3 linked regions of the Arabidopsis thaliana genome follow. The protein of the gene in region 3 interacts with the protein of the main gene of each other region in a pairwise test. Each region holds a gene or a part of one and is shown on either strand. Other genes may lie near its edges.

The links. The genes of interacting proteins can lie anywhere in the genome.
Region 1: the proteins of AHA10 (region 3) and NHX8 interact in a protein complementation assay, tested with the Arabidopsis thaliana proteins (one large-scale study listed by BioGRID).
Region 2: the proteins of AHA10 (region 3) and YKT61 interact in a protein complementation assay, tested with the Arabidopsis thaliana proteins (one large-scale study listed by BioGRID).

The regions. Positions count from the first base shown.
Region 1 is NC_003070.9:5,031,402-5,038,457, forward strand, and holds NHX8 (Na+/H+ exchanger 8), read right to left. Parts: upstream 5,210-7,056; 5' UTR 5,039-5,209; coding exon 4,819-5,038; intron 4,723-4,818; coding exon 4,672-4,722; intron 4,604-4,671; coding exon 4,512-4,603; intron 4,437-4,511; coding exon 4,359-4,436; intron 4,274-4,358; coding exon 4,116-4,273; intron 4,034-4,115; coding exon 3,932-4,033; intron 3,853-3,931; coding exon 3,735-3,852; intron 3,650-3,734; coding exon 3,597-3,649; intron 3,521-3,596; coding exon 3,455-3,520; intron 3,361-3,454; coding exon 3,316-3,360; intron 3,184-3,315; coding exon 3,131-3,183; intron 2,929-3,130; coding exon 2,744-2,928; intron 2,628-2,743; coding exon of another isoform or gene 2,608-2,627; coding exon 2,563-2,607; intron 2,475-2,562; coding exon 2,367-2,474; intron 2,054-2,366; coding exon 1,825-2,053; intron 1,735-1,824; coding exon 1,432-1,734; intron 1,292-1,431; coding exon 1,194-1,291; intron 1,110-1,193; coding exon 978-1,109; intron 897-977; coding exon 762-896; and 2 more. Other genes in the region: AT1G14670 (Endomembrane protein 70 protein family), read left to right, coding at 6,268-6,419, 6,699-6,739, 6,848-7,056. UniProt on the Arabidopsis thaliana protein: May act in low affinity electroneutral exchange of protons for cations such as Na(+) or K(+) across membranes. May also exchange Li(+) and Cs(+) with a lower affinity.
Region 2 is NC_003076.8:23,496,586-23,500,925, reverse strand, and holds YKT61 (SNARE-like superfamily protein), read right to left. Parts: upstream 2,788-4,340; 5' UTR 2,650-2,787; coding exon 2,457-2,649; intron 2,309-2,456; coding exon 2,235-2,308; intron 2,175-2,234; coding exon of another isoform or gene 2,167-2,174; coding exon 2,077-2,166; intron 1,988-2,076; coding exon 1,883-1,987; intron 1,667-1,882; coding exon 1,601-1,666; intron 1,390-1,600; coding exon 1,303-1,389; intron 866-1,302; exon of another isoform or gene 849-865; coding exon 798-848; 3' UTR 542-797; downstream 1-541. Other genes in the region: TIL (temperature-induced lipocalin), read left to right, coding at 1-144, 229-414; SVL4 (SHV3-like 4), read left to right, coding at 3,540-3,651, 3,788-4,084, 4,167-4,276. UniProt on the Arabidopsis thaliana protein: May be involved in the secretory pathway. Essential for membrane fusion mediated by either SYP41 or SYP61; triggers the fusion of phospholipid vesicles containing SYP41 or SYP61 and VTI12.
Region 3 is NC_003070.9:5,902,217-5,909,435, reverse strand, and holds AHA10 (autoinhibited H[+]-ATPase), read right to left. Parts: upstream 5,379-7,219; coding exon 5,313-5,378; intron 5,226-5,312; coding exon 5,106-5,225; intron 5,019-5,105; coding exon 4,920-5,018; intron 4,831-4,919; coding exon 4,693-4,830; intron 4,597-4,692; coding exon 4,462-4,596; intron 4,372-4,461; coding exon 4,192-4,371; intron 4,094-4,191; coding exon 3,887-4,093; intron 3,786-3,886; coding exon 3,666-3,785; intron 3,545-3,665; coding exon 3,425-3,544; intron 3,337-3,424; coding exon 3,214-3,336; intron 3,101-3,213; coding exon 2,996-3,100; intron 2,871-2,995; coding exon 2,726-2,870; intron 2,612-2,725; coding exon 2,450-2,611; intron 2,361-2,449; coding exon 2,122-2,360; intron 1,960-2,121; coding exon 1,927-1,959; intron 1,836-1,926; coding exon 1,754-1,835; intron 1,671-1,753; coding exon 1,510-1,670; intron 1,428-1,509; coding exon 1,254-1,427; intron 1,160-1,253; coding exon 977-1,159; intron 877-976; coding exon 722-876; and 3 more. Other genes in the region: RLP3 (receptor like protein 3), read left to right, coding at 5,997-7,219. UniProt on the Arabidopsis thaliana protein: The plasma membrane H(+) ATPase of plants and fungi generates a proton gradient that drives the active transport of nutrients by H(+)-symport. The resulting external acidification and/or internal alkinization may mediate growth responses.

The sequences.
Region 1 (7,056 bases), 870 kb from region 3:
GAGAAGGTGTGACATAAGAAGATGAGGGAGATGATCGGAGACATGATTGTGTATTTTTACGAGAAGGGAAACAAAGACAAGAAAAGAAGACAACACTCATGACTCTTTTAAGAACTTGTCCTCTCTTTGGGACTAGACAAGCTTCTCTTTCACCCATTTCTCTCTCTCAGCCCGGTTTATGTCGGTTTGGTTTTAGTACTAGAGATGATGATGTGTCTCTGCAAGCTGGAACTGCCGACGTGAGAGTTTATAGTGAAGAAGAGTTGGGTGAGTTAAAAGAACCGCGTGAAAATTCTCAAGACGCGTTGGCTCGTTCTTATATTTTTGTTCCTATTGCAAATTCGTTTATAATTTGGGAATTTATATATTTCTGGGATCTAGATTTGTTTTGCATATAAGTGATTAATATAGGTTTAACTTTAAAGTGTACTGTCAGAGTTTGAAGTAGTCAAGACTTTTTCTTTCTTTGGTTCCAAGTTAACGCGTTTTTGGCTTAGAGAGCGACCATGATTTGTTTTTTCGTTGATGTTTTTTTCCCTTTACGGATTTAACCATTATCGTTCTTATTTTCCTTTTCAAAGCCAAAAAGGATTGATTGAAATGATTATACGAGTTCATGAATTCGATCCCTGTAATTATGAAACAAGTTAAAAACTATACGAATGGACTGTTTTTGGTCATAGATCGAACGAGCTCATGACTCGATCCTGGAACCAGATTCTACTCTAGTTGATTCTGACAAGGATACCTAAAGTCTCAGTTCATGCATCTGTTTCGCCAATGGCCAAACTCCTGAAGCTTGAGCGATCTTTCAATAAAGGATTGCTGGTGATCAGATCGTCTACATTTGGAAGTTTTAGTGAAGGAGGATGTCTCAGGAGCTTCTTCAAGTCAGACTGAAGAGGGAGAGTAGAGTGAGAGTGTTAAGCTCAATCATGTGGCTAAAACATGGATGGCAAAGAATCTACAAATTTTACCTGAACAACATCATGAAGATGAGAAACTTCTTTTCCCTCTAACAAGCCAACCTTCTCAAGGTTTTTAATATAACCATTTAGATGATTCAGCACATAATGTGTTACTTGTCTTGTTTTCAAAACACTCAAAACCTGACAAATATATTGGCCAATATCAGCCTATCAGTTAATCCTGACAATTTAATGGGTTTCAAAAAAAAGTATATGGTTCCAAACCTGAGGAAATGAATCACGGACATCTTCCAAGAACTGTTTTGCTTCTTCTCCTTCCACCTCACTTTCATTGATTACAGTAGAGGCAATGTTACTGTTACCTGTGTAAAGAAAAAAGCACATTCTCAGGTAAATGATGGACCAAAGGTTTTCATTCAAGTCTGTATTCGTGAGCTAATATGCAGAGTCTTAAACGAATTTAACATAGAGATATTATTTAACAGAACAGAGTGATGCATACCTAGAAAGATATGCAATTGCTGTCGCGCAATCCTATGGGCACGGAGAAATGCAGAAGAAATGTAACAAGCAGATTCCAGTCTTTCAACGATCAAATGCGTGACTAACTTGTGGGGGATAATTTTTGACTGAAGAAACTTGTAGTAATTTGGGAAATGAACACGCGGTTCTAAACCCCTCCAGTCGCTTAAAGAACTGGTAGAAACAAGGTCAAGTGCCTCATCTACTGATTGCATCAAAACATTAGCAGTACATTGTGTTATTCTCCCATCATCAAGCATCTCCCAGTAAGCTGCCTGGACACCTGATACAGGCAAGAGTCTCGAATCAATAGCTACTTTTGGAACGACACTAGTTTGACAATGAGAAGAATTTACTACGCATTGTGAAATACCATTTAAGAAGCGTATACGTATGTCCATTATATTCGTAGGGTCAAGACTTCCAGCTTCGTACCCATCGTGAGGATTAACTTGTCTCCCTTCTAAATCTTTCAAGCTTGAAATATGTCTTATAACTGTAGGCCAGTCAGCAGATCCAAGCTCCTCGTCATCTCCAAGATTTTCAAAAGCTTTTAAAGCAGTCTTCATCATTTCAAACTTTGTATACTCCAATATTCGTTTCTGTCAATAGAAAAAGAGGAGCATTATCATTATATTTCTGAAGCATTAGTTGCAAAGATTGTGCGTGTATATACATTAGAAGGATCGGTGACAGATTCTGAAGCAGGTTGATTCCCAATCTCTAACTACCTATTCTCGGTTTGTAAAACGCACAAACCTAAGCTAATATACCCACAACTGCAGAAGGATGCAGTCATTTGTGCATGTATAAAGACGGATGATCAGAGGTTCCATTATCTACCCATATATCCTGTCTTTGCTTTTTAGATTTGAAAAGTAGCAGCACAAGAGAATATAGGATTAACATACTGACCTTAGTGGCCGTTAAAGTGTCCATGCGAAGAAGGTGCAAGAGCAATTGGGTAGTGGATCCATTAACAACCAAAGTTAGGAAAACAATCCCACCTGTGAGGAATAGAAACTGCAAAACAGCTGAAACACATCAAGATAACAAAAAGAGCCTCCAGAAAGAAATTCAAAAGTAGTTCATACTGTGTTTCAGAACTCACCCTTGTTCCCGTATCTGAACTGAGATATGAATTTCCACTTGATTGCTGAATCATATGACCGAGAGCTATAGTATGTCAGAGAAAAGGAAATGGGAACATGAATATAAAAGATTTGAAAACAGATTTGAAATTAGTAGATATTGCTCTTGCATGAATGAAATGCCATTTCTTCAGAACTCACTTTTACAGATAGAGCGAGCGACAGCGAAACAGCACCCCTTAATCCAGACCACGTGAGTATGATGGATTCCTTCCAATCCAACCCATAGCCAGAACGGCATAGCAATGGGTACAAAACTCCAACAACAACACAGCGGGAAAGTTGGACATACAAGTATAAGAGGAAAAGGAAGCTCCACGAGTTTCCTGAAAAGAACGTTACGAGTAATGAATGGTCCTCTTAACCCCAATATATGTCAAAAAGAAAGCTACTGCGGTAATGGTATCAGGAATTAGCGATGTTATCCGTTAATCATGACGAATTCTAGGAGAAAACCTCCCTTTACATCTTCCAAGAACAAAATAAAAAAAAAATCCGGACGTAGAATAATAAATTGTGAAGAGACACCTTTGTAAGATATTGTCTGACCGCTAAGAACGCTTTCAGCGATAATAACTCCACTGCAATTCACAAGAGACACACATGCAATGATCTTGTATCAATCAGGTATCGGCTAAAACATCGTCTGCAGTATTTTGTTTGTAAAATAACCAGTAAATTTTTGTTTTCGAATCTTGCCAGACAGTTCGTACCTGAGCATAAAAACTAGTGTATTTGCAATGTAAGCGGCCATTTCCCTACAAAAGTTATAGGGCAATCATAAAAATATAATATATACATGTAAAGATTTCCTTTGATTTGACGAAAAAAGAACACTGAGTTGTGAAATACCAGAAGTGATGCAGACTCTGGTGACTGTCCCCCTTAAAAGCTGTCCTTGCAAATGCAGCGAAAAACCTATTACAATTATGTTATGAACAATGGCTTTTTGACACATAACAACAGAAAGAAGGGATAATTTACCACGACTTACATCCCCAAAATCATGACAGTCAAAATTCCAGAAACCCCAGCCCACTCTTGAGCCTGTACATAGTAGAAATTTCTTAGGTTTCCTAGAGATTTAAGATTCTCCATTGGGGACTAAGTTATGTAGAAGAGAAGAGCATACAGTGTAATAGGCGAAATAGCTCGCTGAAAGTGTTACAGTGATCTGAGCCACCGTGTCATTGAATATGAATTTAAGCCAAAAAACTGATGCAATTCCAAAAGCTAGACCAATGCCTACACTAAAAAACCAGAACAACATAAGCGGAGAAAAGAAGACAGCGACATACAATACTACTAACAAAGGAAAATAATCCATACGCTCCGAATGAGTTTTGGACAAGAAATTTGATTATGGAACCCCAATCAGAGTTATGCCCCATCACCATCTTGAAGAATAATTGAAAAACCACAACCGATACCCTGAATAATCCAAACAACTAAGCTTGATCATATATGACATAACATCACCTTGATGCTAAACATAAGAGTTTGACATGGTTACCCATCGTTCATGAGAGATTCCCCATCAATTAACGTGGTCATCTTCTTACTAGCACCAAGCTCCTTTAGCAAAGCAACAACAGCCACGGGGTCGGTAGCTCCTAAAAGTCCTCCAAGCAACAATGATGTTTTCCAGTCCCAGTTATATGGAAAAGTAAGCTACAAGAGCATAACTCGAAAAAATTGTTAAGTTAATTGAAGCTCACTTAATCACAGTCGAAAATGTTGAAGCTAGTTAAAGTACCTTTATAAGAGCTCCGAGACAAAAGGTGGAAATCAGAACTCCAGGTCCAGCAAGCAGAACCATTTGTCCCATACATCTCTACCAATGATGTAAAACAATCAATACCAGGAACCAACACAGCCAAGGAAGTAGCTCAATCAGGAAAGTAAAAACCTTGATCTGGTGCACATCCATGGAGAATGAGCTCTCGAAAAGAAGAACAGGGAGAAAAACAGCCAAAAGTAGGTCAGGGTTGATACCATTCCCTGTAAAGTTGCCATTTTTTAGAGCTCGTAATCTAACAGTATGGAGAAGAGAAAATACAGTAGCTTACAGATACGAATTCCATGGCCGAGCTTCCCAAGGTTATGCTTAGTTCCATATTCTACAGAAGCAAAAAAATCCAAAATTTAACTACTTTCTAAAATCTTCCACGAAATTGAAACTGAGCTATAAAGCTTAATGAGCAAACAAATAAGACCTAGGGATCCGAGAAAAATGCCGATGACGAGAAGAACGACGGTGTACGGAACTCTAGTGCCGTTAAACAAATATCTACAAGCGGTGCCGAGAACCAGCGAAGTTCCCGCGAAAATAACAGCATCAACAGGACTCGAATCGTTCTCAGCTGAATACGAAGAAGATGCAATTGCTTTCTCCGGTGATTTGTACGGCAACGCCGCGCCGATTATACTCGTCATCTCCGGTAGAAAGAAGCAAACGATCAATCTTTCGTTTTGCCAGTGATTACGGTCAAAGATGCTTTTACCGAACCGAATCTGCTTCGTTTAAGAGTGAACCAAGATTGAATCTAGTCTGGTTTGGCTTGACCTGTTTTATTTCGGTTACGTCTGGTTTTCTATCACTAATTTGAACGAAAATTTGAGAAATCTTAATACGTTTTTGATTAGGTTTCTGTTTTCTTTGCTAGATATGAATGTAGTTACTGGATTATACTACTCTGTTCAAATGAAGGGTACATATATTTACATGAACCAAATTATGAAATAACAAAACCGACTCACTCTAGTCTCTAAACTTAACTAGTGTCACTTTTGTTTGTTTGTTTTGATCCATACTTCAATGTATCTTGTTCAAATTGTTTGATTTTATTTTTGGTATAAGTGGCTACATTGTAATTTCTTGCTGATTCAATCTATAAATCGAAAACCTTAAATTATCCATGCCTCAAAACGATGCACGTTGTGTATAAATGAGAATTTTAAATTGTTTAGTTTCTATAATTGCTGTCATGACGTGAGATCATGCAAAGCAATTACGTACGATAACGCACGTAAAGGAAAAATGATTATCAGATTCATATATTTTTTTTTTCAAAAACTTGGTCTCGTGTAACATCATTCGTCATTCTTCATATTCACTATACTATAACCACAAAAGATATTAAAAAAATAGTCACTCCACTCCACATCTAATACAAAGAAGTAATAATTTAACTATTCAAAATTTATGAAGTGTTAATACGATAAGATTTTCGACCCAAGGAAAAAAAACACTATAAGATACATAGGTTTGGCAGAACAATTAGTTCGCTCACTGCCTACATATTCTTTTTTTGGTTTAATTAGCCTACATATGGGAAAATGATTTGTATTTTGTTAAATGCCACTCACATTTGTTATAAATAATTAGTCTTGGTTTCAAAAGCCATATATTTATGAATTTATAGACATTGATATTTATTTTTATGGTTGGAAATGGTATAAAGTATTATTGACTATAGTTTTTTTATGTATTTTTCTTATGAAATAAAGTGAGAAAATAATAAAAATATTAAAATTTGTGTAGCTGACTCGAGTTTGATTGAAGTCTTTGGTATATAAATATTGTCGTTATTTCCTCCATTTTTCTCCCTCTTCTCCCAAATAAAAAAAGTTACTCAGATCTCACGATTTGAGCAGAATACGCAATGAGGACACCGACGACGATTCTCCTTCTTGTCGGAGCTATCCTCTTCTCCGGCGCCGGCTATGTCAGATCCGACGCCTCCGACCACCGTTACAAGGAAGGAGACACCGTTCCTCTCTACGCCAACAAGGTCGGCCCATTTCACAATCCAAGGTAAACGGAAACATCTATTCTAGATCTGAGCTTCAGATCTGAGGTTGTTTCCCATTCTTAAGCCTGAGGATGATAAATTGATCGTTTATTGTTGAATCTGTTGCTATTGAATTGAGTAACGACATTGATAACTGAGTACACTGCAAAATGCGTAATGTTAAAACCAAAGAGTGAAAGAAGAAACTACATTTGGAATGTTTTTCGTTTATGTGATGGATCTGTCTTAGATTTGAATACTATTATATGACTGATTTTGGTTTTGTTCAATGATGATTGCAGTGAGACGTATCGATATTTTGATCTTCCCTTCTGTATCCCAGGTATGCTTATATCTTTACTAGCTTAATCACACGATTTGTGTTTAAGCCGCAACTGATTTGTGTGACATCTCCTGATTCGATCATCCCATTATTGAATATGGTTTATAGAGGGTGTGAAAGAGAAGAAGGAAGCTCTTGGCGAGGTTCTAAACGGGGATCGGCTAGTTAGCGCTCCATACAAGCTCAACTTCAGAGATGAAAAAGAGTCTGAGGTATACTGCAACAAGAAGTTGAGTAAAGAAGAGGTCAAACAGTTCAGAAAAGCTGTTGAGAAGGACTACTACTTCCAGATGTACTATGATGATCTACCTATCTGG
Region 2 (4,340 bases), on a different chromosome or scaffold from region 3:
AGCGACGAAGCCAAGCTCAAAGTCAAGTTCTATGTCCCTCCTTTCCTCCCAATCATTCCCGTCACCGGAGACTACTGGGTGCTCTACATCGATCCTGACTACCAGCACGCTCTCATTGGCCAGCCTTCCAGGAGTTATCTCTGGGTTGGTACTCTTTTTTTTTTCTCTTTAACGAATAATCGAAATTGATCCCAAAAATGATTGACTCTGTATATGTGGGTGGTGTAGATATTGAGCAGGACGGCGCAAATGGAGGAAGAGACGTATAAGCAGCTGGTGGAGAAGGCAGTGGAGGAAGGTTATGACATCAGCAAGCTTCACAAGACTCCTCAGAGTGACACACCACCTGAGTCCAACACTGCCCCTGAAGACTCCAAGGGCGTTTGGTGGTTCAAATCTCTCTTCGGCAAATAGATTACACGGCACACAAAGACTTTGTTTCACCTCTTTGATCCTTTTGTCTGTGTAATATACTACCCCCTTTGTCTACTCTAGTTATCTTCCATCATCTGCTTTTGTCTATTTACGACATCTTCATCTAGTTATGCAAAGTCGTCTCTTTTACCATAAGGAAGCGCACACAAATTCAATCAGATCAAATCTGGGAAAGACAATTCAAATCTTGCAGAAGTTGACATTATGTATTTGGATAAACACACCACACGACTCGAGACTTATGGAATCAAAATAATGCATGCAAACTACAGACGGAATTATATGTATAGATAAGACGATAGAAAAAACAGTCTCCCCCCAGCAAAAGTTTGGTTGACTATATACCCAGCAGGACTTCCAGCTCACAGAATAGTACAGCATGAATTTGTTTTCTTCGCTTGCTTGTAAAACATCTGTTCCAACCAATACAACCAAATCAGATTTTCATGTTGGAAGTAAACATGGTTTACCTAATCTAAATAACGAAGAATATCTTGAGATTCCAGAGGATATGACTAATACATATGTTCCTCCCCATGGTCAGATGATATAGCAAAAAACACTATGATTCTTCGTAGCAAACCTAATAATTCCAAAATCCAACTGTATAGTTCAAACTGCACTCAAATGTCTGCAGGCTGAAGCAGAAAGCTTTTTCAAAGAAGGTATTCTAAATCCACATTCTTCCTCTATTTATCTACCCCAACAATAACATGCAATAGTTCCTCTATCAATCAACAACACTTATAAGCCTGCTAAATCAACAACCCTTTCTAACGTGTTCACCAACTATGCTCAGAGATCGAGACAGGGAAAAAAGGAAACTAAATCTATAAGAATTTCTAGAATGTGACTTTAGAATGTTACCTGTGATGCCATGCTCAAATCTGAGCTCTTCTCCACTAGGCTGTCCAGCTTCTCACCACGGGCTAGAACACTATCAATGGTTTTATGCTACAATACAGAACAAAAAATCAGTCTTACGGAGACAGGGACATCCATCATAACTACCAAGACTTTCTTCTTGTTTTGGTGTTTTTCAGAAGAAAGTAAACTCACCGACAGAACAGCATTTATGTATAATTGGCAAGTATACTGAAACTTAGAAAAGGAAGTACCGCTTATGTATAAGGGTCTACAAGAAAGGACCGGAGACAGCACTTACAAGGATAATCTTTGTCTCATCCAACTCCCTCTGGATTTTCAACAGCTTATCAGCCTCTGCTGGGTCCTGAAGATTACAAATACGGGACAATCCCAAAATCAATTTAAGATCAAATCACTCAAAATCCAACATGGTCATAAAACAATGGGGGCTACTAAAATTAATTCATGAAGAATGAATCATTCGATTGGATTCTAATGTCCACCTAACTGAGCTTAATATAACTACAGTTTTAACAAAATTCACAGTAAAAGAGCGAATACAGTTGCACAAGTGAAGAACCTGAAATTTGTTTAAAGCTTCGGTTAAGTATGGCCAAGGCTGATTGGAGTCTTCTTTTGCAGACCTCCATGACTCACCAAAACTCTTCTGGTACTCATCTAGGACCTGAGACAAAATTAAATGTCAAGCAACCCAAATTACAGGAAAACTTACGAATGATGCATTGAGAACCACTTTCAACATAATGATATTACCTGATTGAGAAGAGAGAAAGCACTTCGAACAGGGTAATGATCGTCCATGAAACCCACCGCGCAAAGGCCATTTCTATTGTAAGCGTGAACCTTGTACTCTAAACCAAAAACAAAATAAAAACACGAACCCTAATTATCCCAAATTCGAGGACTAGAACAATAAGATAGAATCGCAAGAAATTAAAGCCGGGGCATAGTCCAGGAAGATCTAGAATCAGAAACGGTGCACATCCTAAATCATAAAAGTTTCAAAATCGAAAAGCCGATCCGAATTTAGAAATCGAATAAAAATCAAAGAGGAAAGGAGATTGCATTAGATCCGGGAGAAAGAAGATTTGAAAACAATCGATCTAGAGAGGTAGAAGAAGAAGGAGAAGAACCTTCGTGTTGAACAGACTGGCGTTGGGAAGGAGGGGTTCGGCTAGCGACAGTGCGACCGACAAAGACGACGAACTCCTTGACGCTAGATCGCTGGAAATAACCGAAGTGAGAGACGTCCGAAGCGTTGGAGAGGATGACGGGATCAGAAGCTTCGGGAGCGCACTTGAGAACGAGCAAGGCGGTGATCTTCATAGCTGCGGTGGATCCAAGGTTGCGTGAGAAGGAAGCGAGGAGGAGGAAGAGAAGAGGCTTTGGACCTGGATTCCTTACTCGGAGATGCTAAAGGCAAAACAAGTTTTGAGGTGTCGAACCAAACGCAGACGCCTTCTCATTAACATTGAATAATGAATATATACCCTCTTTTTCTTATTCGCTATGTTGAAGTAAAAATTAAAAACCTTTGGTTCAATTCAATTTTATGTGGGCAGTCTCGGTTCGGTTTAGCATATATTGATGCAGAATTGGACCGGAATCAAAGATTTTTCCATCACATAGAATTGGATTTTTAAGAATTTTAAGTCTAGGCAAAAACTGAAACCAAAGAATATTTTAATTTTTGCCAATCGAGTTTTCTTATTAACGGAATATTGGTTTGGTTTAGATCGGACAACTTGGTTTGGTCCGAATGCCAAACTCTAATATTGTCATTTTAACTACATACATGTATGACAAATGAATATAGTACAAAGTCCAAAACTGAGGGGTGTTACACCCATTTGTGCAAAGAAGATGTAAGAAAGCATCAAAAAAAGAAAAAGCGGTTAAGAAGGGAATGGTGGAGAAGAAGAGATAAAAATAGAAAGGAGTAAATGGCCATAAATGGAGGATATGAGAGCAAGTTACTTTTTTTTACCATTAATTAACCTTGTTTGACCCATCTCCTCTTTCTCTTCTTTTTCCTTTCCTCTAACTAAACGAGGAAAACAAGCAGGAGAGGGGATTCATGTTCTTTTCTCGCTGTAAGATCTCTCTTTCACAATTTTCTTAAATGTGACAATTCTGTTTTTGTTACATGTATCCTGACTTTGCTTTTCCATTGGGGTACGTACGTTACACACAAATGCAGGATCAATCAGATAGAGATGCTGAGGTTTTTCATTCTTTTCTCCCTTTTCTTACACTCTTCTGTTGCGGCACCCAAGACTCCTGCTGCTGCCGCAGCTGTTCCTGCCAAGAAATGGCTTACCCTTAACGGTAAGCATCCTTTTACAGAGTATGCCCATATTGCATACTACCATGTTTTTTTTTTTGTTGTTGTTTAATGTTAAGACTTAAGATACCATGTTGTTTGTTTGTTTCTAAGAATCCGTACCTGTCTTTTGTCTTCCAGGACAAGAGCCTGCCGTTGTGGCCAGAGGGGGCTTCTCGGGTCTTTTCCCTGAGTCAAGCATCTCTGCAAACGACTTGGCTATTGGCACCAGCTCGCCTGGCTTCACAATGTTGTGCAACCTTCAGATGACTAAGGACGGTGTGGGCCTTTGCTTGTCAGATATCAGACTTGACAATGCAACCACCATCTCCTCGGTCTTCCCCAAAGCCCAGAAGACCTACAAGGTCAACGGTCAGGACCTCAAGGGCTGGTTTGTCATTGATTACGATGCCGACACCATATTCAACAAAGTCACTCGTATGTCTTCTTCTCTTTCATTTCCTCCCTTCAATGCTCACCACCACCACCACACATTTTCATGTTTTGTATTATTGAGCAGTGGTCCAGAACATCTTCTCTCGGCCTAGCATCTTCGACGGCCAAATGTCGGTTTCTGCAGTGGAGGATGTCCTTGGAACCAAGCCTCCCAAGTTCTGGTTGAGCGTTCAGGTATGTTTTCTTCTCTTTGAGAACATGATTAACCAACATATGGAGCTTTTTTGTTGATTCATCA
Region 3 (7,219 bases):
AACACATTCGTTAATTTTCCTCTGTTTCCATGGTTCTTCTTCTTTACCTGTATTATAGTAGGTGGTTTAATGTCAAATTCGTTTGATTCTTTTCCGACGGTTTTGTGAATTTTGTCGGTGAAATATAGTTTATTTGCTTGAGAATTTTGTGTTCTATAAGAACAGCTTGATTGCTTTTGAAACAAGTAATTATAAACCAAGATTTATTCAACACGGAATGTGGACTAAATTAGTAATAATTGAAAACAAGAGAGTAAATATTCGATTACACAGGAAATAAAAGTGGTGATTTTTCAATTTAACCAAAGTGATGAACAATGATCACAGGTTCAGTGAAACACCGACATATATGGCCTACAATTGATCTCAGCAGAGCATATCAGGTGAAATTTCTGCTGTCACCGGAAAACAAGACTACATTACAGACTACAGATCATATGAATGCTCTAAATATTGTTTTTACTTCTCTGAGGAACACAACATTGTTCGATTCCTCTTTATGTAAATTTTGAGATAGGGAAAAACTAAGAGAGTGTTTTAGACAGTATGAGCTGCACGGATCATCCTTTGGTCAATTTGTTTGAGTTTGATCACAGATTCTAAATGCCTTGACACTGAATGAACCTCTAGAAGCCTACCAAATGAAAAACAATATAGTTATTTTGGTAGTATGTGAAAATGGAAGAGAATACCCAAAACGGGGTATAGATAAAAAGAGAACCTGGCGATTTCTGCACGCCTCCTGGTTTGTTCAGCGATCCAAGAAGCGCGAGAACGGCTTCCTCTGAGTTCTTCTGCGGAACGACTTCTCTGAGAGATGGTTACATTGGGCGATCCATCATCTTTCCCATAATCTTTCTTGTAAGTAAAAGCTGTCTGCAAGACAAACCAACGGTCTCATCTTCAAGAAAATGCATAGTTTAAGTGTGAGACTGACTAACAAGCAGAGGACAAGAGACACAGGACATGTACCAACCTTACGGTCCAATACGAGATTCCAAGCTTCTCCACTCAATGCGTAGTGAAAGACAAACTTTATAACATCTAGAGGTATGTAAAATATCAGACTGTATAACCATATAACACCTGCCCATCTCCATCCAATGCCGGTGATTTTAGCAAAGCTGATGTTGGCATACACAGCAATTAATGTAGCCGCCTGTGTACATGAAATGGACAAGTCAATATCACGACCTATGTGTGCTATATAGCATTCTGTGATGGAAAAAATGCGAAGTATGGGGAATTCGTACAAGTTGAGCAAGAATGAAGGCAAAAATCAGGAGAGTCCCGGGACGTTCAAAAAATGACCAGCCTCGACTACGTGTTACAAATATGAGTGCCTGACTGATGATGCTCACTTGGAGATACATCGCGGATGACACTTGTTCACTGTTGTTGGCAATTGATTTTACATGGAAGTGTTTCTGCAGCCATTAAAGATTGGTCACCGGTATGCATTCTTCTCGGTAAGCAAAATCTAACTTACTTTGAGTGATAGGAAGATACCTCGAAGAAGGTGGTAGAAACAATGATCCAGTAAAACAGGACGGTGACCAATGCTAGATATGTTCCAATGACAATTCCTGTCGCAAATATCTGGTTGAGCTTCCAACTCTCGGGTGTAGGAGATGGCCTAACTCGATCTTTAGAAATAGTCATGATAGTCCCTGATGCGTAGGAGATAAACATAGCGTTTGAAAGTGATAAAAATTAGGTTACATCAATATGAAGCTATTGATTAAGAGATTACCGTCATTGAGTATTGCGATTATCAGAACCATGAAAGGTGGGAAGTCGTATTCCCATATCAACGCTAAAAGTGTAAAACCAAGCTGCATGAAACAATGTCAAGAAGAGAAAGTTCAAGTAAGTTGATGTAACTTAACTAACATGAGTTAGATCATGTATCATGAAGCTCCTTACCACTATGCGTATGGTGATAGAGACTGCATATACCTGCAGATTCGTACTGATTAGTCGGTAATTCAGAGAAAAACATAAGCTAGTTGAGAATGTCATCAGGCTACTTGAAATCCATATCCTATATTATATGATTTTTCATTTCTTTAGCTATCAGGGATCAGATGATAGTAGTATAACTATAACTTTAGTACTTACTGTATAGTTCCTCATCCGCTGGAAAATGGCTCTGCTGGTCAAGACAGCACTGATAATTACACTTAAGCCGGGATCAGTTAGTACTATGTCAGCAGAACTTCTTGCAGCATCTGTTGCATCTGCGACAGCTATTCCGATGTCAGCTTTTTTGAGAGCAGGAGCATCATTCACACCATCTCCGGTCATTCCAACCACATGCTTCATTTCTTGTAAAATCTTTACAATCTCATACTTATGTTCTGTAACATGAGAGACAAAAAAAATTTGGGATTAGAAATGAGAGCAAATCTTAAATTTCGTAGGTACTAAGGTTGTGTTAGAATATGACCAGGGAAAACTCCAGCAAATCCATCTGCCATTTCAATTAGCTCATCCACTGGAATGGCTTCATGCTCATCATTGTTGTGGCCTAACAAAGAGGAAGAAGGATACATGTTGGTTCCCATTCCAAGACGTCTGCCTGTCTCCTTTGCAATCGCCAATTGATCACCTACATGTGGTTCCAAACTTATCATTCATTTTCCCAGAGTTTTACCGTTTACTCACAAGGGTATATGTGTTTCTCTGTCGGGCCAAGCCTACCAAGCTAAAGGTTAAGATTTACCAGTGATCATCTTAACGCAAACTCCCAGGCTAAGAGCTCTAAGGATGGTTTCACCGCTATCATGCCTTGGGGGATCAAACAGTGGCAACAGACCACAGAACCTCCATGGTCCTCCAGGACTGTTGTTGCTTTTCTCTGGAATTTCCTAGAAACAATTATTTAAATGATGCAATGAATTGGAGTAATTAATGTCATCATAACGTTCTTCTTCAAAAGTACACTTATGATAAAACCAGCTCAAGAGAGAAAGGGAGAGGACAATGATGTTACCTGATAAGCAACCGCAAGAGACCTCAAACCTTTTTCTGCAAATCTATCAATGATGGCATAAACTCTTTGCGCAATCTCATTTTTCTGCTGACACAAGTTTAGAACCTATAATATAGTGCAGTTGTATTAGTGATGGTATTTCTTTCATGGAAACAGTACAAAAAAATTCACTAAATTTTTACAACTAGAGTCAGTTTGGTAGTGCTAAGAATACATACCTGTTCAGGAGCACCTTTGGTAGCACGATACCATTTTCCATCGGAATCAATATACGTTATTGCAGTACGTTTGTCCACAGGATTGAATGGTAAGAAATGGATTTCTCTAATGTTTGCACGTGCCTACAGATAAACAACCTTTGTATGAGAAAAACTTCTAAGAAGGTGATAGTCTTATAAAAGAGAGTTCATGTTAGAGAAACATCTCTACCTCTCTGGGATCTGCAAGCATGCTAACAATGGCTGCATCTATAGCATCCTGATTTTCTAGTCGTGAAGCTCGGCCTGCAAGCAACAAAATTGTATCCTTGTCCATGTAGTCAACGAATACCTGTGCAGAAGGATTTGTACATTTAAACACCAACAATAGAGAACAAGACGATGAAGAAGGAGGCAACTGTTCTTAACAGTATTGTTTGATGAAATTCAAGTCGCATCTGTAGTATTGGTACCTCAATAAGATTTTTATCAACGGTAAGACTGTTCAAAGTAAGGGTTCCAGTTTTATCACAGCAGAGTACATCCATCCCAGCCATTTCCTCTATTGCGGTCATTCTTTTCGTAATGGCACCCTTAGAGAACATGAAGAAACAGATTATTGCTAACAAACTGTTTTAAAGAATAACAAACAAAGGACTTCCTTTTGCATTCAGCAGCTTAAAGTGGGATGTACCTGTTGTGAAAGTCGATGAGATCCAATGGCAAGCGTTACAGATAGTACAGTGGGCATGGCAATGGGTATCCCTCCAATCAGTAGTACAAGAAGATTATTGATCCCAATTCTGTAAGAGCGATGTTGTACAGGGAACATGATAATGATTTCAAGAACCATTCCAACAGCAATGGAGCAAATGCAGAAGTTTCCAATCGATGTAAGAACCTAGAAGAAAACATGTCAAAGACTACATTCGGTTTTTCCAGATTCCAAGTTCACTAATCAGGTTCTATCCAACCAAAAGGGAAAGAAAGAAGGAAAACCTGCTGAAAATGTCCAGTTACATCTGTACTGTCCACCAAGCGTGCTGTTTTTCCAAAGAAGGTGGTCGATCCAGTTGCTATCACAACAGCTTCTATTTCACCTTGTTTACAAGTAGAGCCAGAAAAGACCTGTTCACCCTTCTTCTTGGTCACAGGTAGTGATTCTCCGGTCAGCACTGACTGCAGGAATAAATGTTTTAACTATTCTGTCAGAGAAAGTCTTTACATAGTACACACTAAAAGAATAGAGACTAGATATTCTGGACGTACCTGATCAATCTTCAAGGGGTCTCCTTCAAGAAGGCGAGCATCTGCAGGAATGATATCCCCAAGCTTAATGCTAATTATATCACCAGGTACCAAGATAGAAGCATCTTGTTCTTGCCACTGTCCATCTCTAAGAACCTATAAGAGTGGATCTAAATCAAATTTAAGGTAATATAGAAATTAAAGTGCAGCTAACTTTGCCGTTTCGGCTCATAGGAAGGTTAAGAGCCATACTCTTGTTTTTAAAGCCAAGCGAGCCATAAGAGCTGCAGCAGCATTCCCAGCATTGTTTTCTTCAAAGAAGCTGATTGTTGCGTTGATCAGCAAAAGGCAAACGATTCCAGTAAAGTCTTCCCAGTCAGGACCTAGACTCTGTAATACCATTTTCACCATGAGTTTCAAGGTGCTTTTTCATAAACACTCATGGATGGAAAATGGTAGCAAAACTGTGGTTGTCTTACTTGACTATTAGCGAGGGCAATGGCCATCAATGCAGCAGCTTCCATAACCCATGACAAGGGATTCCACATAAAACCTAAGAATTTCACAAATCTGTTCTCCTGTATCATTGTTGTTTTAAATGGCGGTTAGCACAAGATAATAGAGACAATTGGCAGGAACACTAAGAAGAATGTCATGTTTATTACCTGTTTCTCTTCAAGTCTGTTAGGACCAAATATCTTCAATCTCTCTTCAGCATCTCCAGATAAAAGCCCTTGAGGCGATGTTCTTAGGTATTCAAAAACCTCCTCCAACGGCAATATACCCTGTCAAGCTCAAGAAGGGTCAAAACCCTTTTTTGCCACTAAGAATTCAAGTACTAATAAGAGTATACAGTTAAAAGGAACATTTACCAAATCAATTCCTTTTCTGTTGAAAGTATCAGGATCCAGCAATGGCTTGTCCAAATCCTCGGCCATACTTAAAAGCTTCAAAATGTATTACCAGGATCCGATACTAATTTCGTCGTTAAGAATATACCAGGAACAGAAGAGAAACAGGAATCCTTAAAAAGAATCCAGGAATATTGAAACTGAAACGACCATTCCATGGCTGACCAGTTGATAGAGTGTGGAGAAGAGGAGATTCTCCTGCAAGTCTCAATTGGTATCACCATTATTGGAAGCATAAGAGAGTTTGCGAACAGTAGATGTGAAAGACGACGAAAAAAGCAGAGAGAGAGAGAAAGAAGAGTGGTTAAAGATCTCACTTCTCTACCTAACGGTCACTCTCACTAGCTTCCTCTTTTTAACTTAACTTAACAACCACTGTTACGTCAACTGTTCTCATAGGACTTGGTCTCCTCTCATGTTACGTAGAAAATGAAATTGAGAAAGGATTAACGATGGACCAATGGTATGAGAAAATTGATCACAGGAATAATGAAAGCGTCAGGACAAAGAAACAGATAAAAAAAATATTAAAGATGTACGACAAGTCTAATTTTGTTATGTCTGGGCTATTCCCCCTTAGTCAACACTGGCCAACAAGTTTTTTCATCTTCTTTGTCTGTTTCTCGTCTTGTTCTTGTTCTCACCATGACTAATGAGGGGAGATTCAAAGCCAAAGGTTTTGTGAGAACTTCATCAACCACAAGACCAATACAAGCTCTGAGTTTTCACATGATTGGCATACTCCTTCAGTGTGTTCTTTTCATCAGTGTCCTTTCTATTGCAGTTTCAGAGGCTCTCTGCAACTCGCAAGATCGAGAATCCCTACTGTGGTTCTCTGGAAACGTTTCTTCTTCTGTTTCTCCTCTGAATTGGAACCCATCCATTGATTGTTGCTCATGGGAAGGAATAACCTGCGATGATTCCCCGGATAGCCACATCACTGCAATCTCATTGCCCTTTAGAGCACTATATGGTAAACTCCCTTTGTCTGTTCTGCGTCTCCACCATCTCTCTCAACTCAATCTTTCTCATAACCGTCTCTCCGGTCATCTCCCATCTGGCTTTCTCTCAGCCCTTGATCAGCTCAAAGTTCTTGATCTTAGTTACAACAGCCTCGATGGTGAGTTGCCAGTTGAACAAACATTTAGAAATGGAAGCAACAGATGTTTCCCAATTCGGATAGTTGATCTGTCAAGCAATTTTCTCCAAGGCGAAATCCTCCCTAGTTCTATTTTTATGCAAGGAACTTTCGATTTAATCAGTTTCAATGTCAGCAAGAACAGCTTCACAGGCTCAATCCCTTCGTTTATGTGCAAGAGTTCACCGCAGCTCAGCAAACTGGATTTCTCCTACAATGATTTTACCGGTAATATTCCGCAAGGACTAGGGAGATGTTTGAAGCTAAGTGTTCTACAAGCAGGCTTCAACAATATCTCTGGTGAAATCCCAAGTGACATATACAATCTTTCGGAGCTCGAGCAACTCTTTCTACCCGTCAATCATCTTTCTGGAAAGATCAATGATGACATCACCCACCTCACAAAACTAAAATCGCTCGAGCTGTACTCCAATCACCTTGGAGGAGAAATACCAATGGACATAGGTCAGCTCTCTCGCCTGCAAAGCCTCCAACTCCATATCAATAACATCACTGGTACAGTCCCGCCTTCTCTTGCAAATTGTACTAATCTCGTCAAGTTGAATCTGAGGCTTAATCGGCTGGAAGGAACCTTATCAGAGCTTGACTTTTCCCGCTTTCAGAGCCTTAGCATTCTAGATCTCGGAAACAATAGCTTCAGCGGTGATTTCCCTTGGAGGGTTCACTCCTGCAAATCTCTATCAGCGATGAGATTTGCAAGCAATAAGTT